Xenopus tropicalis: one gene and its partners. The protein of the gene in region 4 purifies or fractionates together with the protein of the main gene of each other region. This does not show direct contact. Links are inferred from orthologs where the notes say so. Each region holds a gene or a part of one and is shown on either strand. Other genes may lie near its edges.

Region 1 (4,264 bases), on a different chromosome or scaffold from region 4:
CCCACAACATGTGATTACCTTTAAGAAAAAAACCCCAAAATTAAGGAATTGGCGCATTCTAGGGTAAACATTATGCCCATGTAATCTGGAGGTATTATTTATTACATTTGGACTTGAGAAGTTTTACAGAAATGTTATGCACTGACAAACTAGTGATTTTTTTTTCTTGCTGAAATTAAGGGCTGAGAACTTTAGTTCCCATGCACACATATACAGGTTATTTCTACATAATTTCCAATTAACTATTATAGGACAAAGAATCTGCACAGTGATGGAAACCTTTGTGCACTGGGCAGGATTGCTTAACATGCATGATATATAAGCATTTTTGGAATAACTGTCTCACCTTTTCGAAAGGGAAATACTGGCATTTATATGGTTATTTTATTGGCTGAAACAGATAATTCTCCATGGTTTAAAGGAATGTCTGATGAAGAGACCCAGCTGCCCCTAAAACCTGGTCAATAAATATAAAACAAAGAGCTGCTTTTTTCTTTCTCAACCAACTAGGTTTGAAATTAAAAATACAAGCTGCCAATAATAAACTGCCAGGGACACAAAATAATAAAGATAATAAGTCTTAAGTCTTGGCTAATATTTGGCATATAAAGAAAAAAGCAGACTAAACTGCCAGTTACATAAAAAGAAATGAAAATATTCACATATACATTTCCTTCCAGAGCTAACAACCCCCCCCCCCCCCACCCCACCCCATTACACCATGATTCTGCATTTACAAGGAAAAAGAACACAATGTAGAATTATACACAGGGGCAAGAACATAGCTGCGAGTTCAGCAAAAACCTAAAAAATAATTCTTGCATTCTACTGTTCAAAAATGTATTACCCGAGGCTCTGTCCTGTTCTGCTCTGCTCTGGAGCTGGTGCTAAGGAAAGGGGCCTATAAAAGCTATTTTTCTCTGTACTGCATTTTCGGCGCCTGAATAAGGTGCTACCGCAATTATGAACATTAAGGGCCTTAAGTTTGCCTTGAGAGGAAACTTCCGCAATTTTGGGAAATTGCGGCACCGCATATGCCATACCACCGGCGATTGACATTTAAGCCGATGGGGTGGCATATCGGGGTGATTAGTCGCCCGCGACAAGGGAGATTTGTTGCAGGCGAATAATCTCCCCGTCTGCCACGGCCCTAAAGGAGAAGGAAAGTTACAATCACTTGGGGGTGCCAAAATGTTAGGCAGCCCCCCTCCCCTCAGTGACTTCAATCGCTTACTTGAAACCCCCAGCCGGTGCTCCTGTTTGGAGAAAACTGCAGTGGCCAGGGTGTATGCGAGCGAGCGTTCCTTCTTCTTTGCACATGTGCAGTAGAGTAAAAAGCCGGCTTTAACAAAATAGCTGGCTTTTTCATTCAACTGAGCATGCTTCGGCCCCTGGATTCCGAAGAAAGAAGATAAAAGGAAAAGGAACACTCGCTCACATATACCCAAGGCCACTGCAGTTTTCTCCAAACAGGAGCACCGGCTGGGGTATCAGGTAAATGATTACAATCAATGGGGGTGCCTAACATTTTATTTATCTCCATCCCATCCAGACACACTCCAATAATTCTGAAGTATCCAGCCGGATGCTTACTATATACAGTCACAATACAAAAGCACTTATTTTTGCATGTTATTTAAGTAATCCAGTGAAGTTAAAGAGTGATTCACCTCAAGTTAACTTTTATTATGTTATAAAATGATCAATACTTGGCAACTTTTCAGCTGGTCTTCATTTGTTATTTTGTATCGTTTTTGAATTATTTGGCTTCTTCTTCTAAAGCTTCCAAATGGGGGTCACTGACCAGGTCTGATCTGGGATTCAAAATAGGCCTGGCCAATTCAAGTACACAAAAGGCCCAAACAGCCCCCACCAGCCCAATAGTGACTGTCTATGGTATCTTACAGCAGCCCCTCTGGAATTTACCAGAATCCACATATCGTCAGTCCGGGCCTGTCACTGACCCTGTCTGTCAAAAACTATTGCTCTGTGAGGCTACAATTTTATTGTCATTCTCTTCATTACTTATCTTCCTAGTTACGTTCTCTCCTGTTCATATTCCAGTCTCTAATTCAAACCACTGCCTGGTTACTAGGGTAACTAAGATCAAAGCAACCAGATAGGTGCTGAAACTCCAAACTGAAGAGTTGCTTCGCAAAAAGCAAATTAATTAAAAAACCGTAAATAATAAAAATTAAGACCAAATGCAAATATAAATCTCCACGTCATACTTAAAAGTTAATTTTAAGGTGAACAACCCCTTTAAAAGTTCTACGTGTTCCAATCTATACAAAGTTGTCATCAAGATCATCCTTATGACAGTCAATGAGACTATATATGTACCCTCTATTGTACATGATAAAGATATCAGAGGTTATGGGAGGTTTCATGACCATATAGTGGCACAACGCAGCAAGACACAAATTTTAGAACTAAGCACTGATTATCACTATCAATTTACTGGATATTCATGGCTTGAGTACTGTGTGTGTGTATAATATATATATATATTATATATATACATACATACACACACACATAGAAGATAAATTAACAAGTAAAGCAATAGGTGGCCATAAGTGTGTAGCAATTCGTATTTAGTACAGTAACACAAACACTGGGATTTGTAAAGAGGAACCACTGACAAGAAGACAATAAGACCGAGCCATCTTCCTCACCGCCTGTGACTGTCACAAGACAAACTGGCAGCTGTAATATATTCGGACGGTTCACTATTGGGGGAATCCCTCCCAACTAGAGCCGATGCGGCAGACCTGTACCTGTTCGGATGAGACTCCAGCGATGCTCAGCTCTAAGCTTATTCACTGGCTAACATGGCGCTCCAGCTGACTGTAAACCATCCATCGCTCGAAACGCGATTCACCGTCCTGTTCCCTTTAACCCTCTGAATGATCTAGAGTTCGGCGTTCTCACAATGCGCAAGCGCACTGGCACAGTGTGAAGCCAGCCTGCCAGCACCATTGTAGGACTGAAATTAATGATTTGACGTTGTTTGTATTCATTAACGCCGTACAAAATGTTTTTTTAAGTATTAATTACATCTTTTAAGATGAAATAGAGACATTAAAGAAATGTTGTCATTATTTTTAGTATTGAACAAATATTTGCTCTTTCATTTTATTTTAAATTGTCTCTTTCTTAGGCTAATATCCCATGGGGAGATTTAGTCGCTGTGATTTTTAAAAAGTGAGTCGCTTTTAACAAGTCACTTGTCTTTTCCTAACAAGCGATTACAACAATGGAGCAATTCTATTTCCCACAAATCCAAGTGTCATATTCCACAATTAGAAATTATATTCAGTGCAATGGGGAAATCGCAGCAGCTTCCATCAGTGGGTTTTACTTTCAGCGATTCCAGTAGTTTTTAATGACATTGCTTTCTTTGTAAAATCACTCAAAAAAGGGTCTCATATCGATTCAGAGCGTTAAGCGATTTGAAGTAGTATCGTCTTCGTTGTCGTGGGCAACTAATCTCCCCACAGTGCCATCCCACCCATTCTAGCCGGTGGGATGGCATTGTGGGGAGATTAGTCGCCCGCGACAACAAAGATTTGTCGCGGGGTGACTAATCTCCCCAAGTACCACTGCCCTTATACTGTAGAGTAGACATTTACATAGATAGGGTTTATTGGTCCCTTTGTAGGGCACTTACTCCTAGTGCAAGGTTATGTGTTTGCTTGTGTGTATTTATAACACCTTGGGGCACATTTACTAATCCACGAACGTCCGAAAAGCGTCCGAATGCTTTTTTTCGTAATGATCGGTATTTTGCAATTTTTTTCGTAAGTTGTCACGACTTTTTCGTAGCCGTTATGACTTTTTCGCAAATTGTCGCGACTTTTTCGTAGCGTTACGACTTGCGTGAATTGTTGCGATTTTTCGTAGCCGTTGCGCCGAGTACGAAAGTTTCGGATTCATTCAAGCTTCAGTATCGTGACTTTCCTTGGGTCGGGTTGGAGCTGCAGAGTGCCATTGAGCCCTATGGGAGACTTTCCTTGGGCCAGGTTGGAGCTGCAGAGTGCCATTGAGTCCTATGGGAGACTTTCCTTGGGCCGGGTTGGAGCTGCAGAGTGCCATTGAGCCCTATGGGAGACTTTCCTTGGGCCAGGTTGGAGCTGCAGAGTGCCATTGAGTCCTATGGGAGGCTTTCCTTGGGCCAGGTTGGAGCTGCAGAGTGCCATTGAGTCCTATGGGAGGCTTCCAAAATCATGCAAAGTCTGAAAGGTTTGCCCGCCGTTTACAA
Region 2 (3,929 bases), on a different chromosome or scaffold from region 4:
CTGATATAATCAGCCTCTGAGACAGAATGCCTCCCAAACTCCACACACACGCACATCAAATGTAAAAGTGTCTGGGGAGTCATTAGCCCCCAACATCTGAATGGAATTCACCAGAAACTTTGCTGTAAGTTTTGCACTTATTGCTCAAAGGTAAAGACCTTTGAGCAATAAGTGCACATAGTGCAAAACTTACAGTATATTATTAACATTTATTTATAAAGCGCCAACATATTTTGCAGCGCTGTACAATAAGTGGGTTTCATACAATGGACATACAGAGTAACATATAAAGCAATCAATAACTGATACAAGAGGTGAAGAGAGCCCTGCCCAAAAGAGCTTATAATCTACAAATTGTGTATAATTATAATTTTATTACAATATTCTGGTCTGCAGCTGTAGATCATAAGTGAAACAGGCAGCTGCTACACTTTCTCTTCTCCTTAGTGCCAGGGTAATTACTGGGATCTACGTGCAGATCAGCTCCTCTCCTTTTTGGTAAAAATGGGTTTAAAGCTGTTTTATTGCTGCTGGCCCTTCTCTGAGTAAATAATTTGGGTGTAACCCTGGCATTCTCCTCTCTAACAACATACGGTTACATTATATTAATCAGAAGAATCTGAAATAAATGACTTACACAAAAAAAGAGTTCCCAATTGGATTGAGCTATGCTATCAGCAATCTGCAATTCTCTAGAGAAAGAAGGGACCTACTGGGGTCACAAAAAAGTTAATACGTCACCTAAAGGCTACATCCTAATGTTCAGTCAGTTTGGAAGAGATCTGCTACACTGACCAAGTGTATCTATATGGGTTATAATCTGGATACTTAAAGGAACAGCAACACCAAAAAAATGAAATTGTATAAAAGTAACTAAAATATAATGTGCTGCTGCCCTGCACTGGTAAAAGCTGTGTGTTTACTTCAGAAAGTCTACTATAATTTATATAAATAAGCTGCTATGTAGCCATGGGGGCAGCCATTCAAAAGAGAAAAGGCACAGGCACATAGCAGATAACAGATAAAACTTATCTGTTATCTGCTATGTAACCTGTGCCTTTTCTCCTTTTTTCCAGCTTGAATGGCTGCCCCCATGGCTACACAGCAGCTTATTATATAAATTATAGTAGTGTTACTGTAGCAAACACACCAGTTTTACCAGTGCAGGGCAACAGTGCATTATATTTTTATTACTTTAAAGCTCTTTCATTTTTTGGTGTTACTGTTCCTTTAAGGGTGAAGACACAATGGGCAACTAGTACCAGCTACTTTGTAAAGGCTACTAAACTCCAGAAAATACCCTAATGCCCTAACACATGTAGAGATAACTATCAGTAAATGATCAGCAGCCTTTTTTAGTAGCCATGACAAGTAGCTGCTACTAGTAGCTCTGTGTGTCTTCACCCTAAATAGTATTACCTAACTGTAACAAGTTCCTTATTATGATTCTTAGACCAATATCTGATAAATTTGCTGGTTGCCACTTCCCATAGTAATGTATTAGAAATCCTCAGCCTATGCAGCCATCACAAGGGTGATTTCCTCTGGTTGCTATGGGAGGCAGGCGTGGGTGATTTCAGGGGCTTAAACCCCCACCAGGATACAATGGTGGTCAAAACCTACCCTGTGACATGTAGCAAATGCACTTGAAATGAAACCTATCTGCTGATGAAATTCACCCAATCTGAACAACATAAATTCCGTAAAACAACAATGTGCTGCAGCAGAACATTCACATTAAGAACCATTTCTTAAAATGAGTCAAGACTTGTGAAGCAGTAAATACAAATGCGAGCCATTAAGTCTATTTTGAGTTCTAACAGAAGTCATATTATGTAATGTAACAACAAGCTGTTATTGTACTACAACTCCCATCCCATTAGATGCTAGGAGTCAGTGTCGGACTTGGGATGCTAAAAGCCCACCAGAAAACCTTAGACCAGGGATCCCCAACCTTTCTAACTCGTGAGCAACAGTCAAATGTAAAAAGACTTGGAGAGCAACACAAGCACCATAAAGTTCATGGAGGAGCCAAATAAGGGTTATTAGGTAGCCTCTATGCACACTATCAGCTTACAGGGGCTTTATTTGGTAGTAAATCTTGTTTTTATTCAACCAAAACTTGCCCCCAAGTCAGGAATTCAAACATAACTCCCTGGTTTGGGGTCACTGAGAGCAACACCCAAGGGGTTGGGGAGCAACATGTTGCCCCTGAGCCACTGGTTGGGGATCACTGCCTTAGACCATGGGGCCACCCTCCAAATTATTTTTCATCCATTTCTTATCTCTATATATTCCAAGTTATTTTTCTTTATCTTTACAGACTATAATCTATTTTTCTATATATTTAGTTGCTTTGTTCCCTTATAGAAAAATAAGTAAGGACCCTGAATTAGGCCAAATGGCTAGAAGCAGGAGGGCCCCTGGGAATTCTCCCGGTATCCCTGTGGGCCAGTCCGACACTGCTAGGAGTTCAGAAAGCAGACTGAAACATTACACGCCTATTGTAATTGTATTTACCCTTTAAAGCCATAGGGCACTTGTGTCCCCTGTCAAACACCCCTATAAGCCTATGCACAAACTTCTCGGCCGAACTAAATACAACTTTGTACGGACAAAATAGCACATTCTGCGCCCAAACTCTACGCCTCACAGGCCCCGCTCGGTAGCGCAGGGCTAAGGGCGGATACCGGGCAGGGCGTTCCCCGCAACTTGTAAAGGCAGCCCCCCCCAAGCACTACTGGCACACTTACATTTTGACAGGCTAGATACTGCAGGACACCGGTCCGACTTTACTCCGCTGGGCGTTTTTGCCTTGTGTAGCCGCAATCCCGTAGAGTTCCGCTGCCGGGAGAGGTGTGGCCAGCGCAACTCAGGGCGTGGCCAGCATCAATGACGTCAGGTGCAGCGCTGTCAGCTGAGCAGCAGGTCACGTGTGTGGCACAGCCGCTCCCGGTTTTGTCTTGTTAAATTGTCCCTCGGGGAACGGCGGAAACCGCTGCGATATTCCCGCCAATGAACTGGCATGGGGGCTTGGCGTGCGAAATTCCACACGCAAGGGTTATGTTCAGAATAGTGTGAGGCGGCGGGGGGCCCTAGGCGTGTCGGGCAGTCTAATGTGTTTCTTGCTGCGACATTAGGGGAACGCTTCTAAAGTTTAACTAGAGAGTATTCAGCCTGGGCACACAGCCTCCCTGGGGCCCCTTTGGTATAAATGGTAGCTGAGAACATTGCACTTATAGCTATGCAGCCTGCAGCGCAGTAACAGAAATAATCATTTACCTCAGTAGTCAAATAAAGCTTACAAACTAAATCCATATGGAATTCTTACAACACCGTTATATAAACCTGACCAGGAGACGAGTTATTCTTTTAATAACATTGGCCAAGCTGCGGACTAAAATGTTTTGAGGTTAAGGAAGAAATAAAACAATATAAATATGTATATAGACTGCAACTATTTGCAGGTTAAATTAATTTAATTATTATAACCAGCTTCCCCAAGTAAACAGGTGTCCTGTCCCATGGCCTGGAGAGCCCCCACCCACTCTCCTCTGCAGTAGGTTCCACACAAAGTTTGCCATGGGTGGGCCTGGACTAGCCACGCCTCCTAGGAAGGAAGAGGGGAATTGTAGGTGATTTTTGGGGAGGGGAAGTTTGGATAGGAAAGATATCAGGTGGTTGGTAGAAAAGATATTAGCAATTCTATAAAGGTGGCCATGCACCTTAAAGCTGCCAATTCGGGTTCTTCACAGTAATTCGCCATCTTATCTGTCAATGTATGGGGCCCTCTGACAGGCATCCCCAACCAATAGCTGCCCAAAAATCGTCCAGATGACGATCGGATGGTGCAGGCTTGACTTTTTGTATCCCTTTCATGTTATAGTTTGGCCTTAAGCTGGCCATACACGCACCGAAACCTTGTTTCG
Region 3 (4,217 bases), on a different chromosome or scaffold from region 4:
CTCACTGTAGTTCTGACTCCTGCACTCATGCCTGTTCTCTCATTAATACGGTCTGTAACCCTTTGTTGGCAATAGAGCCAACACATTACAGCAAATGAGCCTTTGCTCAGGTGGAGGGAGGAGTCAGATGAGGCTGAACTGTATCTCTCAGACTATGCACAGAAGGTGCAATAATACTGATGGTGAGAAGGTTTGTTGGGTGTGGTAGGGGTACAGTTTCTCCTCTTGGGTGGAAGGACTATCCCCGCCATGAGTGCCCCCCATGCTCACCTTGCTCCTACTGTGAGACTTGCAGCACAGGGTTTATCTGGCACCGGTGATGTCCCACTGCCTTCTTATAGGGGCCCATTCTGCAATCACAACAGCACCAGGAACATCTGCCTTTAATCCTTCTAGGACCTCTGCCCCACACTTGACACTATGGCCACTGCTGACCAAGCCCCTCCTTACTTTCCCAAGATTCCAGTCCCCCCACACCTCTGGCTGTAATCCACAACCCCCCCCCCCCCCCCCCCCGATCAGAAGTGTGGCACCCCCAGCATCAGCCATCAAATCTATCCCATCCATTACCATTACCTGCTGCTATTATTTCTGCATGAAGATATCCATTCAGATTCACATTCAGAACTACCCACAAAATGGCAGCGGTTATACTTGGCCAATCACTGCTCTTCATTTACTCCCAACAAGCGCAACAACCCCCTCCTGAAGTGGGATCCACAGACAATGCGCCCCATACTATTGGGGGAACAAGGTGCAGGTTACACAGCCAGTTGTGCCAGTGCAGGGCAGCAGTACAATATATATTCATTACTTTGATATACTTTATTATTTTTGGTGTTACTGTTCCTTTAATTGGGCTGGTTGGGCCAAAAATACCCCAAAGTCAACGGAAGTTCTCAGCAGCCCCTCTGGCATTGGCAAAGATTTCCCCAAAAGGTCGATTTTTCCATCTTCTTAAAACTAAATAAATACTCCTATGCCACCCTGCCCCATCTTGTTTGCGAACGTTCTCCCATTATGCGGGTATTTTCCTCCAAATTTCCCTACTTTCACTTCCTCATTAGAAACAACACAGCGCCCCCAGCGAAGCTTCAACCGAACTGCAGCATTTCAGCACCAGTCACGTGACCTAGAAGTGAACTGATCGGATTAACAGAAATACACTACAAGTCCCGTGATGCTTCGCGCCTGAACCGGAGACACGTGACGGCAGGGAAGCCGAGGAGGGCGGAAGTAGGCGAAAAAGTGACTGGAAGAAAGATTGTCAGTAGGGGAGAGTTTAGAGTGTTGCGGAGAGAGTGAGACTCGGGGTCGGAGTGACAGAAGCTTGTTGCTAGGAGACAGATTTATTGTTATTATTAGAGGTACAAGTGATAGAGGTGCGGGGCAGGGAGCGGGGGGAGATGAGTTTATACACGTGTTTATATAAACAGAGGCTGTGAGGGGAGGGGGCAGAGTGCGGCCCCAGGGATGGGAGAGATACCCTGCTAGCCCCTATACTCACATATACACACACACACACATATATATATACAGGTATAGAGAGAGACAGGAGCTTATATAGAGGCTGTAGATTCCTATAAGGGCAGCTGGGGCAGAGAATGCAGTAAGTGCCTGGGCACTCTAGGGGCGCTATGTAAGTACAGACATAGATTATTGTATAGAGTTAGATAGAAGGGGAAATAAGCCAAAACAGGAAGAAAAGCCAAAATGTCTCTGGACGATCCATTCTCAGTGGTGAGAGGGTGAGTATTGGCTTCTTATTCCAGCAAATGGGCAGTGCCATGCTGCCTGTCTCCTGTGCCCGGGGGGTTACCATAGAGACCGCAGCGAGGGGCGCCAGGGAGTATACAGGGACATGTGGGGTTCTGCCTATAGGGGAGACAGATTGTGTGACTACTGGGGGTCCTAAGAAGTATAGGGGCCCAGAGGGGCACTGACTAATAACAAGGGGTTTAGGGGGCCCAGAGGGGCACTGACTGATAACAGGGGGTATAGGGGCCCAGCGGGGCACTGACTGATAACAGGGGGTATAGGGGGCCCAGAGGGGCACTGACTAATAACAAGGGGTATAGGGGGCCCAGTGGGGCACTGACTGATAACAGGGGGTATAGGGGGCCCAGTGGGGCACTGACTGATAACAGGGGGTATAGGGGGCCCAGAGGGGCACTGACTAATAACAAGGGGTATAGGGGGCCCAGTGGGGCACTGACTGATAACAGGGGGTATAGGGGGCCCAGAGGGGCACTGACTGATAACAAGGGGTATAGGGGGCCCAGTGGGGCACTGACTGATAACAGGGGGTATAGGGGGCCCAGAGGGGCACTGACTGATAACAGGGGGTATAGGGGGCCCAGAGGGGCACTGACTGATAACAGGGGGTATAGGGGGCCCAGAGGGGCACTGACTGATAACAGGGGGTATAGGGGGCCCAGTGGGGCACTGACTGATAACAGGGGGTATAGGGGGCCCAGAGGGGCACTGACTGATAACAGGGGGTATAGGGGGCCCAGTGGGGCACTGACTGATAACAGGGGGTATAGGGGGCCCAGAGGGGCACTGACTGATAACAGGGGGTATAGGGGGCCCAGAGGGGCACTGACTGATAACGGGGTATAGGGGGCCCAGCCGGGCACTGACTGATAACAGGGGGTATAGGGGGCCCAGAGGGGCACTGACTGATAACAGGGGGTATAGGGGGCCCAGTGGGGTACTGACTGATAACGGGGTATAGGGGGCCCAGCGGGGCACTGACTGATAACAGGGGGTATAGGGGGCCCAGTGGGGCACTGACTGATAACAGGGGGTATAGGGGGCCCAGTGGGGTACTGACTGATAACAGGGGGTATAGGGGCCCAGAGGGGCACTGACTGATAACGGGGTATAGGGGGCCCAGTGGGGCACTGACTGATAACAGGAGGTATAGGGGGCCCAGTGGGGCACTGACTGATAACAGGGGGTATAGGGGGCCCAGCGGGGCACTGACTGATAACAGGGGGTATAGGGGGCCCAGTGGGGCACTGACTGATAACAGGAGGTATAGGGGGCCCAGTGGGGCACTGACTGATAACAGGAGGTATAGGGGCCCAGCGGGGCACTGACTGATAACAGGGGGTATAGGGGGCCCAGTGGGGCACTGACTGATAACAGGGGGTATAGGGGGCCCAGTGGGGCACTGACTCAGTTGCAATATATATTTCTAACTTGTTCCCAAAGTTAAGAGGGTCCCTAAAATGACTTTTCTATGGGGTCCAGTAAAGTCTCTTTATGCCGATGGCAAGCGCTTCCTGCACCTTGTCATTCCCAAGGCTCAAACCATCCGTGGCCTGTAGTGAAGCCCGCCCTACAAGGATGTCAAACAGACCTGTGTATTACAACTCCCCCCCACTCACTGACTGACTGACTGACTGACTTCCCTGCCCTAGAAAGTAAACACAGGTCAGGCTGGCTGGGCTTTGCCTTGTGCTAGAGACCATAACCAAAGATGAAGTTATACCGTAAAACATAGACATTTGGCTGCCACCAACCCTTTCCCTGGGAGTCATTTCCCTATAGTAGTGCTGTTAGTCAGGGCCCCATAGTTAAAACAAAACTAGACTCCTCCCTTTCTCCCCCCTCGTTCCTCTGGTAGCCATCTCTCTGTCCTGTATTACTCTCTTTCTCCCCCCGCAGAGAGGTGCAGAAGGCTCTGAACACCAGCCGGGGTTTGTACCAGCGCTGGTGTGAACTCCTCCAAGAAAGCCAAGTTACCAGTGCCGAAGAGTTTGATTGGACGACCAACGAGTTGCGGAATTCCTTGCGCAGCATTGAATGGGATCTGGAGGATCTGGAAGAAACCATCAGTATCCTAATTGGTCAGACACAGTGCCAGTCCCTGTCAGGTAACCCTGAAATAGCCCGAGAGGCACCTAGTTGATACCAGGCATATTGATAGGAGGCCCCGAGGTGGCCCATCTAACATACTGGCGCTAGAATAAACCCATGGGATACAAAAGGGCCCCTAGCGTATGGGTTTATTCTACTGTTACGCTCTGTGTTGTTCCCTTGGCCACTGGTAGCCTTTTTGCAATTCTAGTCCATTCCACAGTTTTCCTTTACTCCCATCTTGGGCATCGTGGAATCGAACTCGCGAAAATTCAAGATCACCGGGACGGAGCTTAGTGAGAGAAGGAGTTTTGTGGAGCAGACGCGGAATTCTGTAAAGGTAAATTAAA
Region 4 (3,998 bases):
GAAAGAGAGGATGATAATGGGATGGGAAAGAGGAGAGCAGTTAAGGGGTCTTTTTTTAAAAATTCCTGGCGCACCTCTGCTAATTCAAACTACCGTATTTCTACCTCCCACACACACAATACTTTCTTAAAGATGATTCAAAATGCAGTGACGCAAAGATTTTTGCGTGGCACAATACTCATCACTTGCCTCTGTAAGAACAGTAATCCCTAACCAGTGGCTTGTGAGCAACATAGTGCTCGCTAACCCTAGATGTCTCTCCAGGGGGTCTTAAAGCAGGTGCTTGTTTTTTAATTTTTGGCTTGAAGGCAATTTTTAGTTGCATAAAAACCAGGTGTACTGCCAAACAGAGCCTCCTGTATGCTGCCAGTCCTCATAGGGGCTACCAAATAACCAATCACAGTTCTTATCTAGCAACCCCCAGAAACATCCATACATAAAACGCTGCTATCCACTGGCACTGATGGACTTACCAAACTGCCCTCCCTCAGCATTCAGAGTTCCCAAGAAGTCCAACAGATATTACACATCGCCATGTCCAGACTGGGAGTCAAAATAGGCCCTGGCATTTCAAGTACACAAGAGGTCCAAACAGCCCTCTACCAGCCCAATAAATATTAACTGTCTATAACATCTTACAGCAGCTCCTCTGGCATTTGCCAGAACCCATAGATTGCCAGTCCCAGCCTACACATCACTCATATATAATTCCTGTATATATCACCTTGCCCTTTAACAGCAGCCTTGAACATACATATCACACACTATGCTTCAACTGCTTACCTGTTGTACAGGTAAACAACATTTTACTAAAGATCACAATACTTGTCCCCCATGTGCACCCAGCATATTTCTCATCTCCCTCCATTAAATCCAAGTACTAGGGGTGTAGGGAAAAAAAAATAATTAGACCCAGCAATTGCTCCAGGACCTGGGATATTAAGTACCCCATCCTCCAAAGGCGCACTTGCTGATTTTTATAAACCAGCAGAATTCTACATTTGCATTCCTTGTTCTCTTTAAAGGAGTGGCAACAACAGCATCTTTTCCAAGCTGTCACGTGGTATCATGACTGGGAGGCGCTTATCGCTGATAGGAGCCTGACAATTCCTACGTGACATCACGGTCACATGGCTATGACATCACGACTTCCTTAGAGTCGCTTCATCCCACCATCTCTTATACTCAGAAAGGAGGACGGGGCCCTAAGAGGAGCAACATGTCTGGGTACATGAAGCAGCAGAGCCGTGCCCGGGACTTCAACAGCATTATTCAGACCTGCAGCGGCAATGTGCAGAGGATCACAAATAACAGTCAGTATCCCCAGTTTTTCTACAGAGCACCGGTCCTATTCCTGTATATATATCCGTGATCGCAGCGAGCTGCACACACCCGCAGTATATAGATGGGGGTACTGGTGGAGATTTGAAGGACGAATTGTTAGCCATTGGCAATGGGAACTTTTGGACAACAGAGATTAACATGTTATATGGGCCCCTTGTATTATGTGTAATTCCCAGGTGCTACACACCCACTGATGTACAGGAAGGGCGGCTATACTGACACAGCTGGAAATAGAGAAAATTATTTATATAGCATTGCATATATGGAGACTGGACAGTTGGCAAATGACAAAAATCAACTAATGTTTCCTTGTGTTGGTTGGTGGGTGGGTGTACAGTACAGCAGCTATCAGCTGGCATGTTCATTGGCAGAGGGGCACAGAGAAGCAGGGGTGACAGGCAGGAAGGGAGCTAAGTGCAGTGGGAAGTCATTTCCTACTGGAGATTCCTGATTGGGTTACTGTTACCAAGAAGTTACTACTGTTAGGCTTGTCACCTGGTTGGGCTCTTGCTGTGGTTAAACTACACATTACAATATTATCCTAAAGGCAGCATTTGTAGAAATGTAGTTCAGCAACCAGTGAAATCAGGCTGAGCAGTTTTACCCTCGCTTACTGAATTTGTGTTGAGTGGGTTACATTCCTGCCTTACTCCATGGGGGTTTTTTGTTCCCCCCTAACTGCCTGATCACTGCTTTGCAAGCTCAGAGAAAATTTTGGGCGTGGGCACAAGCAGGATTCACCAGGTCAGGCAGGGGCCATGAAATTGTAATATTTCCTTCCTCCCAGCATGACAGCAGGATAGGAGTTCATAATGTGTGATTTATCATGTTGAATGAATGAGACTTGGCAGGAAATATGTATTTTCTTGTATATCATTATGTATTAGATTCACAGTATTGACTTCTGCCAATCATTACATACCCCCAGAAGTAAGTAAATAAATAAATATGGAGTCTTGGTACTACTGGCCTCTGTTCTTCAAGTCTATGTGTAGTTTCATTCTTAAACAAGTGTTCAGCTCTTAATTAAAGGATGCCATGGAATAGTAGTAAATACGTCATAAGAGCAATTTGTCACTCCCTCTATTTGGACTAGACATAAGACATTTACTATCCAAACATACCCATTCCTTAACCATCTTAAAGGGGCATCTTTAACAAAATTACACTTTGCCTGTTGGTCATGTTAGGTTTAGTAAAGTAAAGGAATTTGGGGGGAAAATACCTTACATTTTTACTTGTTAAAAATCCTATGTTTCCGCTTCCATTTGAAAGTGAAATCACATGATTAATGTCCTTAGTCTAAGAAGGCAGCAGTCAGTCCTGTCTTGCTTTATAGCTGAGAATCTAGTTATCTTTATAACAGAACATTCATTGTACTGTGATTCAAGCAGGCTTGGACTGACATGGTATTTTTTTTTAAAAAGGTTTTTTTGAGATGATAGTATCTTAATTATATTCAGTATTTTTAATGAGAAGTGGTAAATGTGCACTCCATGTGAGAGCCTCTAATTAAAAGTGGATATAGCAAGGACGTAATTCATGTAATGAGATTTTTTGTTCATTGTTCACTATGCTGCTGTTTTTCTTTTTGTAATTATAGACTAGCACAGTGCAGTGTTTACAGGAAAATTGCTGCTGTCCTACAAATGACTGTTATTGTATGTTTTGGAATGGCCCAGTTATTCTGCACTGATAACAGCACACTGCTGAGATCTGATAACTGTGTTTTCAGCTTCTCGGTATGCTGTCAAGGTGTGTTGTTGTGTCATACTGATATAAGGTGCACTGTTGTCATGAAGTGCGGTACAGGTTGAAGTTACATAGTCTTTTTCAGATAGGTAATGTTTTATTGGGCATGTTCAGCAAATATAATTTATACAGAGACTTTACAGGTTTTCACAGGAATTTGTTGGTGAAAAAGGTTCCTTCCATAACCTAAAGCTTTAACACTGAAGCCTGGCATCCCCCTACCCCCTTTACTTACCTGTGGCACTTGTCTAGTCAAGGTTGATTTAAACAGTACTTCCAGCCTTGTCGGGTCAGTACCACACCCAAAGCCCAACATCTTCAAAACAGCAGCCATTTCTAAAAAAGAAGTTGAAGTCTGGTACAGGTAAATAAAGAAGGTGCAATATTTTAGTTGTAACTCATTAGAGATGGCCTAGAAAAGGAATATCAATAATAAATATAAATTTCTATTAAAAAAAAAAAAAAACACAGGTACAGGTATGCGACCTATTATCCAGAATGCTAGGGACCTGAGATTTTATGGATAAGGGATCTTTCTGTAATTTGGATCTCCATAGCTTAAGTCTACTAAAAGATTATTTAAAAATTAACCTCAATAAGCTTGTTTTGCTACCAATAAGGATTAATTTTATCTTAGTTGGAATCAAGTTCAAGTAACTGTTCTGTTATTACAGAGAAAAAGGACATTTAAAAAAAATATTAGAATTATAGGCTTATAATGGAGTCAGTGGGAGTCGGAACTTCCTGGATAAGGGGTTTCCTGATAACAGATCCCATACCTGTACAGGTTTGGGATCAGTTATCTGGAAGACTTCAGACCTGGGGTTTTCCGGATAAGAAGTCTTCCCATGATACTGATCTCAGTACCTTTTTTAAATTTGTTAAAAGGAAAAAAATAATCT
Region 5 (2,651 bases), on a different chromosome or scaffold from region 4:
TTTCAGCAGGGCATGCAAAGCCTAAGCCTGTGATCAAATCATTAGTGATCCCTGCACTAGGGCATAGCGATCTGTAACTCTTTCAACAATAGTATATAATACAGTGTCTTATATAGTGTCTGGGCCTTGAATTTAACAACTTTCGTCCATTAACCTAATGCACTACTGCATGGTAATATAGCTGTCTATTTCTGACCCCCTTATATCTCCATGGAGAATTGTGCCTAGTATGGAGGCATACATATACTAGGGCAGAGAAGTAATCTTTTTATATTTTTGCTGCAGCCCACAATAAAATCCTACCACCCTGCTGGTCAACTTTTCCCTCCGCCAGCTAACTTCTGGCAATAGTACAATCCATTGTACAGGCAATCGTCTTTATTTGCTTCCAGTGTAGCAATACACTTGCAGCAAACAAAGATTTCCTGTGACAATGGCAGTTTAGACAAGGCTGAAACTGCACCTTCGTAGAAGCCAGGGGGAAACAAAACAAAAAGGGAAATTGTTTCATTTTTAATATTTCTATTAGAAAAATACATAGGGTAAAAATAAAGTTATCGCGGCCCTTTAAAGGTTATCTGAGAAGCTTACCAATTACCATCTCAGAGTTACAGAATACCTATTGAAAGACAGCAGTGGATCACAGCCTGCTTTGGGCATTTGTAGTTCAGGAAGCTGATAGAGAGGGAAGTATTGCGACAGCTTCGGACGACGGACAAGAAGGTATTTATTAAGAACATGCACCACGTGACGGAGAAATCACAGAGCCAGCAGCACAATTCGAGAATCCAGCCTTCCCTGGTAGAGCTGCACTTTGGGGAATGTTTAACGTCTTAATGTGGTAACGGCTTCAATGTTCACTTCCATCTGGGAGAGACAGTATGTTAGTCATAGCCACGATGGACGGGCTCTCTTAAAAGAAAGAAGGCAGAAGAGAGAAGTCTTCAATGATTACTTAACAAGTCCAGTTGCTTTAGATTTATTTATACTAGATAAGGCAGAAGAGAGTTTCTGCTTAGCACAACTAATAATTACAGGGCTCCACGGCTAGAAACAGGCAGACAGTTAAAGAATGCTGGATACATTATGTACATCGTCATTCAGCAGTATCATGTAACCCCCAAATACCATTATCTAATCATTTTATACATAAAAGAAGATTCTGGGGGAATGGAACTTGCGAAAATAAGTTGAGAGGTTTGGAAGTTGGTTGTAAGTTGTGAGTGAAAATACTTACGCTGCCTCTTCTTTGAGAAGAGCAAGGAACTTGCTAACCCGGTATTCTGGATCCATCTGCAAAAGCAGGTAAAATTAAGCATGCTAAAAATAATCTTTAGTCATTGCAAGCATCAATGAGGGAGGCAAGTATACCCGCATCAGCATTATACAGAAATCTAAACCATCGGCTCACCACTTACCTGCATGGACATCTCAATAAGCATCAGCAGTTTTTTGATTCCAATATACACTTTTTTGCCTTTAACTTGTTGAGCGATTACTGATCTTTCGTTGTCCTTGAAACCTCCCAGGAGCTGTTGAAACAGGAAACAAAGAGTCAACAAAGTTTGTTATGATGGTGCCAATGTGGCTGGTTAAAGATACTCAGGTTCAAGCATATTAGTTACTAGGATGTGCTTTGTAGAGGGAACAAGGCTATAAGCCAACATTATGGAGGTTGTTTCCACAGCCCGTCTTTCCAATTACTGTTTTCTTTTGGTTTTGTACATAACACAAAAAAATAAATCCCCCCCACCCCGTTATGCCTTATGCCATATCATTGCTCCATGCCATACTCCAGTGATTAAACCACTCCTGTGCCATCCTATAGTTTTAGAAATAGAACCCCACACTAACAGGGCTCTGTGAATATTTAAGGAGAATTATAGGAGATGTCAGACCAATGTATCGGAAGTGTTATTGCACATTCCTCTCATAATAATTCCACTGCATACATAGAAATGCAATAATGTTAAAAAATATTCGAATCTGAAGTGCCCTATACTGGCAATAATACTTTTACTTCTAGATTTAGGATCTACTGTTGAGTCTCCTTTCTAATATTTTGACTCTAGTTTTGTCTAACAGCCAGGCCTGGACTGGCAATATGCGGATTCGGGAAATGCCAGACAGGCTTAAGTAAGATGCCATAGACAGTAATTATGGAGTGGGATGTCAGGGGGGCTATTTGGGCCTCTGTGTACTCAAAATGGCCAGGTCTGCCAAAAACAAGGCAATTTAGCTAAGCACACACCTCCCCACTTGAAAGAACACAAGTCATGACCTCACCTCTAAGGCTTCCATGAGTTGTTCACCTGTGACGATATTTGGGACACGAATGGTTGTGCTAAATGCATCAAGCATTTCCATTTCCTGAAGCACATCCTTCCGGCTGGTGGTGCCAATAATTAGCAGCTTGCGACCCTTTAGAAAAGTGGTAGAAAGAAGGATATCAATGGTGAAAAGTATATTATATTAGCGTTTGTATTAGTTACCAAACTTTAGCTCTTTTACCTGAGGAGGGGCCTTCTTCAAAAGGACAAGTAGAGCCTGCAGCACTAGGTTGGAGAAGCGAGGACCAATAGGGACATAATCTGGCAGGAAAAGAGGTAAATTAACTACCTATGATACATAATAAACAATCAACAATTGGT
Region 6 (4,161 bases), on a different chromosome or scaffold from region 4:
TTACAGAGAAAAAGGAAACCATTTTTAAAAATGTTAATTTTTTTATTAAAATGGAGTCTATGGGAGATTGCCTTTCAGTAATTCAGAACTTTCTGGATAATGGGTTTCTGGAGAAGGGGTCCCATAACTGTGTATAAGGGTACGGATATAATTTACAAAGCACTGGTGCTCACCATGTCTAAATCCCCTAAGCAAAGGTCCACAAAGACGGAGGCATAAAGATTCTTCTTGCTCGACCACAGATAGCCCTACAATTTAATTTGCTGAAATAAATATGCCAAGCTTTCAGGAAGGAACCCTTTGGGAAGCTTTTGTAGGTTTCCTTGGACTGCGCTAATAAATCATGTAGAGCTATGTGTGGCCCACCAGTAAGAACCTACCTGTTTGTATTTTTTGTTCTGCTTTATAATTCCCATTGAATGCCTTCCATTACTAAAGCTGTACTGCAGTTATCAATATATAGAAATATTTGTTGCTTTCATTTATTATACTAATTATATATTTATATTATTAAATCTTACTTTGCTGCTTGATTCAAGGTTAACGTCTTTTCTTTCTTTACTGTTTGGTTACCCAAAGTATTGTTCTGTGTGTCACTGTTTCCTGTGATTAGTGATACTGACACCTAAAACTAAACAATTTTTTAAATATATCATAACATTGTCTTTGCATTAGCTTAATAATATTGCCATACAAGTACTCGCTGATGCTTTACATTAAGTAATCTGATTTCCCATGTCCCTCTATGAGGGGGCGGCCATATTTGTGCAGTAGGAGGCTGTTAGCATTAGAAGCTATAACTGACAGGCTGAGAAGGGACAGTCAGGTTGGCAAAACAGTCAGGTTTAGGAGCTTTAAGTAACAATTACTTACAAAAGCAGCAGTGAAAAATAATTAACATGGCCTATAGGGAACTTTTTATGCACATTCATATTTTGAGAAGTATTTTTTTCATGTATCACTTTAAGATATTATTTAAACATAAAGGGGTTTAATGGTTATGCTTTCATAACGCATATGCCTGAAAGAATGTTACTCTTGCTTACATAATGTTTAATAAACAAATTTGGCCCTAGTTGCACAAAACCTCTCATTCTTTCTTGGTCAAATAGGCAGGTACTTTTGTATAAGTCATAACTCTAGCAAATATAAATAAAAGAAAACTGGGAGTTGAGGTAGTGGAGGGGATAGTGAGGAAGCAACACGAAAGACTGGGATTGCGCTCCCACGACTACCAGCTGACTTCGGCCGAGTTACGTCGGTTTGTCACGCCTACAATTTGGCTACGTGACGCGTCACTGCGCTGACGTGTAGGGGTGATGTCATTCTCGCGTGATGAGACTTGCGGCGTTGGAGTAATTCTGTGAGAGAGGAGGCTGGGAGGCTGCAGTTGACAGTTTTGCCTGAGCTGTAAGTAGGGAACTGGGTTGTGGGACTGTTGGACAGTGTGAAAGCTGTATGTAGTACAGAGAAGATGCAGGCGCTCGGGTAACTCCCATCATTCCTGAATTCTGGAGTTTGCTGGCAGCGGGGGTCCGGAATTCAAGGAAGTGTAGCCCCCCCCCCCCGCGATTCTTACCCTGGGGACAAGTTATTATTTATTTTTTGCCTTGCGCATCTTGTATTAAACAGGGCCCTGCTCGCACTAGCTAGTTCAAATTACATACAGTGACCCTGCCTACCTTGGGTGTTCACCTTTAGTGTTCATACAGTGGCCCCGGCTGTATTGGGCAGCTTCAGTGTTCATACAGTGGCCCCGGCTGTATTGGGCAGCTTCAGTGTTCATACCGTGGCCCCGGCTGTATTGGGCAGCTTCAGTGTTCATACCGTGGCCCCGGCTGTATTGGGCAGCTTCAGTGTTCATACCGTGGCCCCGGCTGTATTGGGCAGCTTCAGTGTTCATACCGTGGCCCCGGCTGTATTGGGCAGCTTCAGTGTTCATACAGTGGCCCCGGCTGTATTGGGCAGCTTCAGTGTTCATACAGTGGCCCCGGCTGTATTGGGCAGCTTCAGTGTTCATACAGTGGCCCCGGCTGTATTGGGCAGCTTCAGTGTTCATACAGTGGCCCCGGCTGTATTGGGCAGCTTCAGTGTTCATACCGTGGCCCCGGCTGTATTGGGCAGCTTCAGTGTTCATACAGTGGCCCCGGCTGTATTGGGCAGCTTCAGTGTTCATACAGTGGCCCCGGCTGTATTGGGCAGCTTCAGTGTTCATACCGTGGCCCCGGCTGTATTGGGCAGCTTCAGTGTTCATACAGTGGCCCTGGCTGTATTGGGCAGCTTCAGTGTTCATACAGTGGCCCCGGCTGTATTGGGCAGCTTCAGTGTTCATACAGTGGCCCCGGCTGTATTGGGCAGCTTCAGTGTTCATACAGTGGCCCCGGCTGTATTGGGCAGCTTCAGTGTTCATACAGTGGCCCCGGCTGTATTGGGCAGCTTTAGTGTTTATAACGTGGCCCCGGTTGTATTAGGCAGCTTTAGTGTTTATAACGTGGCCCCAGTTGTATTAGGCAGCTTTAGTGTTTATAACGTGGCCCCGGTTGTATTGGGCAGCTTTAGTGTTTATACCGTGGCCCCGGTTGTATTGGGCAGCTTTAGTGTTCATACAGTGGCCCATGGGCAGCTCCATGGTTGAGCCACCATCTGTGCTGTCTTTTTGTCTCTTTGCAGTGGAAAAAAGTTGGAAATAAGTACACAGAGCACTTGAGTGTGACTTCACGCTTAGGTGCCATGTGTAATTTTCCAATTGGCTGCTGCAGAAGGCCTGTGTAATGCAGCTCAGGGCACTTGATGCTATAACTAGAGAAATTTAGAAATTCACATTTGTATATTTGCAACCTTTAAGAATTATAACAGTGTCTAAAGACTTCCTTTAAATTATAAGTATGGGTGGTTTTGTACATACAATACCTATTTGTTTTTTCATAAATGCAACGTAATAACAATAATAATTAAGACTGAAAATTGGCAGATTCATAATTGAGTGCATTGGCACTTCAGACACAATACGATAACATCCTAAACTCCATTAAAATAGGTACCCCATGCCAATATAATCATTAAATGGGTTATTTCTTGTCTTTACAGAAATGTTTTCGCTAAGCAGCTCTCATATATCAAAACAAATAAGTGTCCACACTCACAGGATTTAAATTATTTGTAAAAAAAGGTAAATTTTATTACAAAATGTGAAAAAGGAACATTACAGACCTGTACTGTTACTTTTTCACATTTTATAATAAAAATGTTCACATTTTATAATAAAATATACCTTTTTTTTCAAATAATTTAAATCCTGTGAGTGGGGTACTGAAATGTTGAGGTTTGTCATGTTCCTATGCATATGTCTTAATAAATATTGACACTTTTTTACCATATAAACCCTGTGAGTGCTAACATTTCTTTTGCAGTATTTGATTACAACTGCTCTTGCACCCAGGTTCTGACTTTGTTTCATGCACTCCACTAACAAAGTCAGAACCTGGGTGCAAGAGCAGTTCTATATCTATATATATATATATATATATATATATATATATATATATATATATATATATATATATATATATAATTATGGAAGAATTTCAATCTGTGTATTCTGGCATATGCCCGAGGGGCTGCTGTAAGATTCCTGTTTAGTGGTCTATTGGGGGGAGCTATTTGGGTCTCTGTGTACTTCAAATGCCAGGGGCTATGTTGAATCCCACTCTGGGCGTGTATATGGGGATTTTATCAGGAAAAGCCACACAAACATTTTTTGTTGTTTTAAAAACCTCTATCTGATCAGTATGTCACTTTGTGGCAACCTTACCAGACTGGTTCTACAACATTTAGGCAATATTACAACGGTTTTAGCTCAGAAGCTGAATCTTTCTGGTCATCCTGTGATTACAGGTTCCTAACTGTAATCGGGTGGGGGTAGGTTAGCATGTAAATTGTTTGTTTTGGTTCTTTTCTTTTTTTCTTATTTGATTTAGGTGCTTCTTTTAGTAGTAACCGAGAATATGTAGATTGCTAGTGCACATCCACAAGGTCCTGTGGCATCCGGATAACATGACAATAAATTAAAAAGGGATGAGAATGGCACTCACAAAGCTTTGGAGCAAAAATGCCTCCACAGTGTTAAGCTCTACCAATTATTACAATTGTGGAAGCATCGTA
Region 7 (4,289 bases), about 71 Mb from region 4:
TAACTTCCAATCGGAGATTCAAGGCAAAATATTTGCCAGACTGGGAGATAGGCTCACAGTGTCCCTGTCCTTGTTGGCTGCACATGTCCCTCTTGTCTTCGGCTTTTGTTTTTTACTGAAACGTCAAATTTATATTGGCTTTATTGTGTGGCTGAGAGGCAGCTTGTAATATTCCCTTTACATACTCATCGGAGCCAATTGAATAAAATAGTATATAAAATACAGTCAGGAGTGAAATGTTCAGCCTTACGTGTGTATATATAGTGAATGCTGCACCCCCTATTGTAATATATATGGATATTATAAGTTACCAAAGAGTTTCATGACTATATGGAACTCCGAGTTTACTTATAATATTCTCATATTTTACAACAGGGGGTGCAGCATTTATTATAATACACAAGTTTCAATGAGTCATGACAGAAATTACATCACTCAGCATCGATAATAACTAATGATCACTAAGCACAGTTTATTAGGATATAGTTTACAGGATAGTCAGGGCTGTATTTAGGGCCTTTGCCACCCTAGGCACCGGACCTAAATACACCGTTTGGCGCATAAGTAACATCACATGCACCTACATCATTAAAGTGATGGGCAACCTGACCCCCTTACCCTCACTTATGGAAATCTGTGATGCCTGAGTGCATTTTTATATAGGTACCCGAAGGCCGCCCCCCAAAATCTGCCACCCTAGGCACAGGCACTTGGCTGCCCATATATAAATACATCAGTGGCTCTTGTGTATATTATAGAAATGAATGTATAATTCTTAATGATGTCATTAGTTATAATTGGTGCTCTGCCAAAAGCCTCCTTATGTAATTACATTTGAGAAATGTTGTATCTTTTTTGGTGCAGGAGCTCAAAGGGAAATGAAGGATTTTTCAGTAAGAATCCAGGACTGCAGGCTGAGAACAGGACAGTTGGGAGCTAACCCCAGGCTCAGCTGTCACCCTTTCTTTATGTCAACTCATTCTTGCTGCCATGTTTTCCCTTTACTCTAGAACTGTCATCATTCCTCAGCTCTCTCAGTCTTTATTCTCTTCCTCTGGGGGGGGGGGGGCTATACACTTTAGATATGCCCAGATATATATCCCCATAGGGTTTGGGAAGGATTTTGCCTTTACTCTTTTGCTTGTTTTTGAAAGTTAGACCTGGCAGCACAAACCCCACGTACACTTTGAGCCAACAACTGTAGGAACGATGGCAACGTGAATAATAACTACCCTGGCTCTGTTTCAGTTTTATACAGAAAAGGGGCACCCTCCACAAAGTGTTTAATTGCAGACGTCTAGTAAATATTGGTTTATTACAACTCTAGAGAGCCTGCCTGAGCCTGAACGGGCGGATAATGAAGTAATAAGGCTCTGTGAGGTACCAATCATGCACCGCAGCTCCCAGCCTTACTACTCCCGCTCCGGCCAATGGGAGCGGCGTATGTCAAGGTCACGTGTGAGAAGGGGCGCCCATGTAAGGCTCTGTCAGTCCTAGCCCCGCCCCCTCAGTGACGTGTAGCGGTACCTGCTCCAAGCAAGCCGGGGAGAGAGCCGGAGCTGTGAGTAATCTATTCCGGAGCGGAAGGCACTGTCACGGTTGAGAGAAAGGCTGTACCAAGTGCAGGAGGAGTTCGGTATTTTCCGAGAGCCCATCGTGACCCCCCCCACCGCGTCACATTTTCCGCTCCACAAAGGTAATGACAGCTGCTGTCCCGCCTTCTCTCGCTGCCTGCTCGCTACTCACTCACTGCTGTCGCTTCACAATGTGTATGAATGTACTTATAATGGCGACCCTGCGCCGCCCTGAGGCATGAAATGATAATAGTAATAATTATTGCCGGTACCAGCCGTGTTATGGGCACAAATATACCTCCCCACATGGCATGATGCAATAGCGCTGCCTCTTGGCTACTGGCTCCGCCCCTCCATGTGCCCCAGTCATGTGGGGTCTGCTACAGTTCTACGGGGGATGCTGGGACTGTGTGCCACAGCTAATGATATTTGTATATGATAAAAAAAAAATATATATATATATACGTATGTGTGTGTGTGTGTGTGAAACATTTGCTGTTACAGTGTATTGTATGGATACGCACAGGCTAAATGAGTAGGACTTATGCTGAAAATACATTTTGCCTGGTCTTTAATTTAAAAATATATATTTTTAGTTTTTTTTTTTTATAAGGCAGCAGTTATGATAGGGCTCCTTGGTGCCCTGTGGCCATAGGGGTGTTCCCTTACTTGCGTCAGTAATGGGGTGGGATGGGAGATACCTACATGGAGTCTCTTTGAATTATCTGCTCTTTTTAGCTCTACAATGAAACATATTTTTCATAATGAAAATAGAAATATGTTTAATTCAAACTCTGTTCATTAAAGGAATACTGCAATGGGAAAACATGATTTTTTTTTTCTGCAAAACTCATCAGTTAATAGAGCTTCTCCAGCAGAATCCTGCGTTGAAATCTGCTTTTCAAAACACAAACATATTTTTTATATTTAATTTTGAATTTTCACATGGGGCTAGCCATATTCTTCATTTCCCAGGGTGCCACAGCCATGTGACCTGTGCTCTTATTAACTTTAGTCTCACTTTACCGCTGCGCTGCAAGTTGGAATGATATGCCCCCCCTCCCAGCAGCCGATCAGCAGAACAATGGGAAGGGAGCAAGAAAGCAGTTCCCAGTAGGTATCAGAATAGCACTCAATAGTAAGAAATCCAAGTCCGGCTTGGGACTCCTCCAGTTACATGGGAGTAGGAGAAACAATAGGTTACCTGAAAGCAGGTCTAATGTGTAGCGCTGGCTCCTTCTGAAAGCTCAGACTCAGGCACAATGTACTGAGATGCGCCTACACACCAATATTACAGCTAAAAAAATACATTTGTTGGTTTAAGATTAAAATTTTAAATGGCAGAGTGAATTACTCACGACAGTATCCCTTAAAGCTCGTGTTGAACAAGGGGGTGTACGAGCACTTTATGGCATTAACATGGGACTTTCTATTGGCCCATTTCTGTTGCTTCCAGAATGGTTAGTTAATGGCTACTCATAAATATTTAATGACACTGCTGTGTAACGTGGGACACGTAGGGCAGGGATGGGCCAGGTCCCAGAATCCCATCACCAAGCTAAAGCACTATGGAAGGAGCAACTGGAGTTTTTTTTTGGGGGGGTAATGGGTGTAATTGCTAAATATGAAGGGCAGCAAGTTCTGCCTCTTTGCTGTAGGGGATATGGTGCTTACAGAGTAATGTGCCCTGACTGCCTGACATGAATGGTCCAATGGACACCCCCATCTTTCCTTCTGGGGGCCATAAAAATCCTTTTGAGGCCCACACTTTTCCTACAGCTGTTACTTGGCACTTGGACTGCCCTGGAATAGAGAATGTGACTACGTCCCTAGCTACTAGACCCAACCCACGAGATAGGGCAGCCTAAAAATTGCATTATGTGGGACTCATTACTAAAAAAATCTTCAAAAGAAAGAAAATAATCCCTTTTAGGTGATAAAATTCAGTGTCTTTAGGCCAGTTTGGTGTACTTTGTGTTTAGTAGCTGCTCACCAGCACTCTCCTTTCTGCTGTAGATTGCAAGCTCTGATGCACAAGCCCATCTATCACCTCTTACTTGTCGTGGCTACAAAAATAGACAAAGCTGATCATTTACTGATAATTGTCTCTACATGTGTTTTGGGAGAGGCAGTTCTTAGTACTGTCTATGGCAAGGTATTATCTGGCATTTGTAGCTGCTGCACCTAAGTAGCTCCTTGTGTCTTCACTTGACCTGTCTGGTGGACCTTTGGCTGATAAAATCTGGCCACTCCGTAAGTAGTAAAGTGCAACAATCTTCATTTATCTGAATTAATGGTTTTTTTCAGATTCTTTCTTGCCCACGTGAGATCTCCCTCAGGTGACAGAGCACTGCGTCTGACATTGCCCAAATAGATATTCCTAGTTTGACATTAGCCTACTGATAGCCATACAGGCATATAATTATCACAGATTTGGCCCACAGGCCAGTAATTGGATATTAATTGCCCCTATGTAGAGAACTGCATCAGTGGCCCTGTGTAGTTTGTGTTTAAATCAACCAGGTTGCCAGGCAGATGCCCGTTGGCACGCCCCTTATTTTTGCCCCGTACTCAAGCCAACAAGCAGGAGTGGTCTTACTCCATACTTGGCAACATGGGGAATCAAAGCAGCAATTAGGATGTGGGTGGTTTTTTAGCCTCATGGTTAAACCCCTGTTAGGTTTTATTGGGGGAGGTTTTATTTGTTCCCTGATT

Evidence for each region.
Region 1: the proteins of stx12 (region 4) and vamp4 purify together in Homo sapiens (affinity purification with mass spectrometry; 3 studies listed by BioGRID and IntAct, counting the BioPlex papers as one, with this or other methods). This does not show direct contact. The link is inferred for Xenopus tropicalis from reciprocal best matches to the Homo sapiens genes STX12 and VAMP4.
Region 2: the proteins of stx12 (region 4) and vamp3 purify together in Homo sapiens (affinity purification with mass spectrometry; 3 studies listed by BioGRID and IntAct, counting the BioPlex papers as one, with this or other methods). This does not show direct contact. The link is inferred for Xenopus tropicalis from reciprocal best matches to the Homo sapiens genes STX12 and VAMP3.
Region 3: the proteins of stx12 (region 4) and stx10 purify together in Homo sapiens (affinity purification with mass spectrometry; 3 studies listed by BioGRID and IntAct, counting the BioPlex papers as one, with this or other methods). This does not show direct contact. The link is inferred for Xenopus tropicalis from reciprocal best matches to the Homo sapiens genes STX12 and STX10.
Region 5: the proteins of stx12 (region 4) and nsf purify together in Homo sapiens (co-immunoprecipitation; 4 studies listed by BioGRID and IntAct, with this or other methods). This does not show direct contact. The link is inferred for Xenopus tropicalis from reciprocal best matches to the Homo sapiens genes STX12 and NSF.
Region 6: the proteins of stx12 (region 4) and snap23 purify together in Homo sapiens (affinity purification with mass spectrometry; 3 studies listed by BioGRID and IntAct, counting the BioPlex papers as one, with this or other methods). This does not show direct contact. The link is inferred for Xenopus tropicalis from reciprocal best matches to the Homo sapiens genes STX12 and SNAP23.
Region 7: the proteins of stx12 (region 4) and slc7a1 purify together in Homo sapiens (co-immunoprecipitation; 3 studies listed by BioGRID and IntAct, counting the BioPlex papers as one, with this or other methods). This does not show direct contact. The link is inferred for Xenopus tropicalis from reciprocal best matches to the Homo sapiens genes STX12 and SLC7A1.

Annotation. Positions count from the first base shown.
Region 1 is NC_030680.2:107,501,077-107,505,340, reverse strand, and holds the start of vamp4 (vesicle-associated membrane protein 4), read right to left. Parts: upstream 2,801-4,264; 5' UTR 2,781-2,800; intron 453-2,780; exon of another isoform or gene 347-452; intron 1-346. UniProt on the Homo sapiens protein: Involved in the pathway that functions to remove an inhibitor (probably synaptotagmin-4) of calcium-triggered exocytosis during the maturation of secretory granules.
Region 2 is NC_030683.2:101,173,772-101,177,700, reverse strand, and holds the start of vamp3 (vesicle-associated membrane protein 3), read right to left. Parts: upstream 2,801-3,929; 5' UTR 2,756-2,800; coding exon 2,754-2,755; intron 1-2,753. UniProt on the Homo sapiens protein: SNARE involved in vesicular transport from the late endosomes to the trans-Golgi network.
Region 3 is NC_030679.2:140,624,130-140,628,346, reverse strand, and holds the start of stx10 (syntaxin-10), read left to right. Parts: upstream 1-1,417; 5' UTR 1,418-1,713; coding exon 1,714-1,748; intron 1,749-3,675; coding exon 3,676-3,845; intron 3,846-4,112; coding exon 4,113-4,207; intron 4,208-4,217. UniProt on the Homo sapiens protein: SNARE involved in vesicular transport from the late endosomes to the trans-Golgi network.
Region 4 is NC_030678.2:83,639,054-83,643,051, reverse strand, and holds the start of stx12 (syntaxin-12), read left to right. Parts: upstream 1-1,198; 5' UTR 1,199-1,219; coding exon 1,220-1,313; intron 1,314-3,998. UniProt on the Homo sapiens protein: SNARE promoting fusion of transport vesicles with target membranes. Together with SNARE STX6, promotes movement of vesicles from endosomes to the cell membrane, and may therefore function in the endocytic recycling pathway.
Region 5 is NC_030686.2:15,512,336-15,514,986, forward strand, and holds the end of nsf (vesicle-fusing ATPase), read right to left. Parts: intron 2,592-2,651; coding exon 2,512-2,591; intron 2,422-2,511; coding exon 2,287-2,421; intron 1,533-2,286; coding exon 1,419-1,532; intron 1,294-1,418; coding exon 1,238-1,293; intron 913-1,237; coding exon of another isoform or gene 885-912; exon of another isoform or gene 868-884; coding exon 858-867; 3' UTR 501-857; downstream 1-500.
Region 6 is NC_030684.2:105,577,757-105,581,917, reverse strand, and holds the start of snap23 (synaptosomal-associated protein 23), read left to right. Parts: upstream 1-1,361; 5' UTR 1,362-1,410; intron 1,411-4,161. UniProt on the Homo sapiens protein: Essential component of the high affinity receptor for the general membrane fusion machinery and an important regulator of transport vesicle docking and fusion.
Region 7 is NC_030678.2:154,474,739-154,479,027, forward strand, and holds the start of slc7a1 (high affinity cationic amino acid transporter 1), read left to right. Parts: upstream 1-1,489; 5' UTR 1,490-1,696; intron 1,697-4,289. UniProt on the Homo sapiens protein: High-affinity, low capacity permease involved in the transport of the cationic amino acids (arginine, lysine and ornithine) in non-hepatic tissues.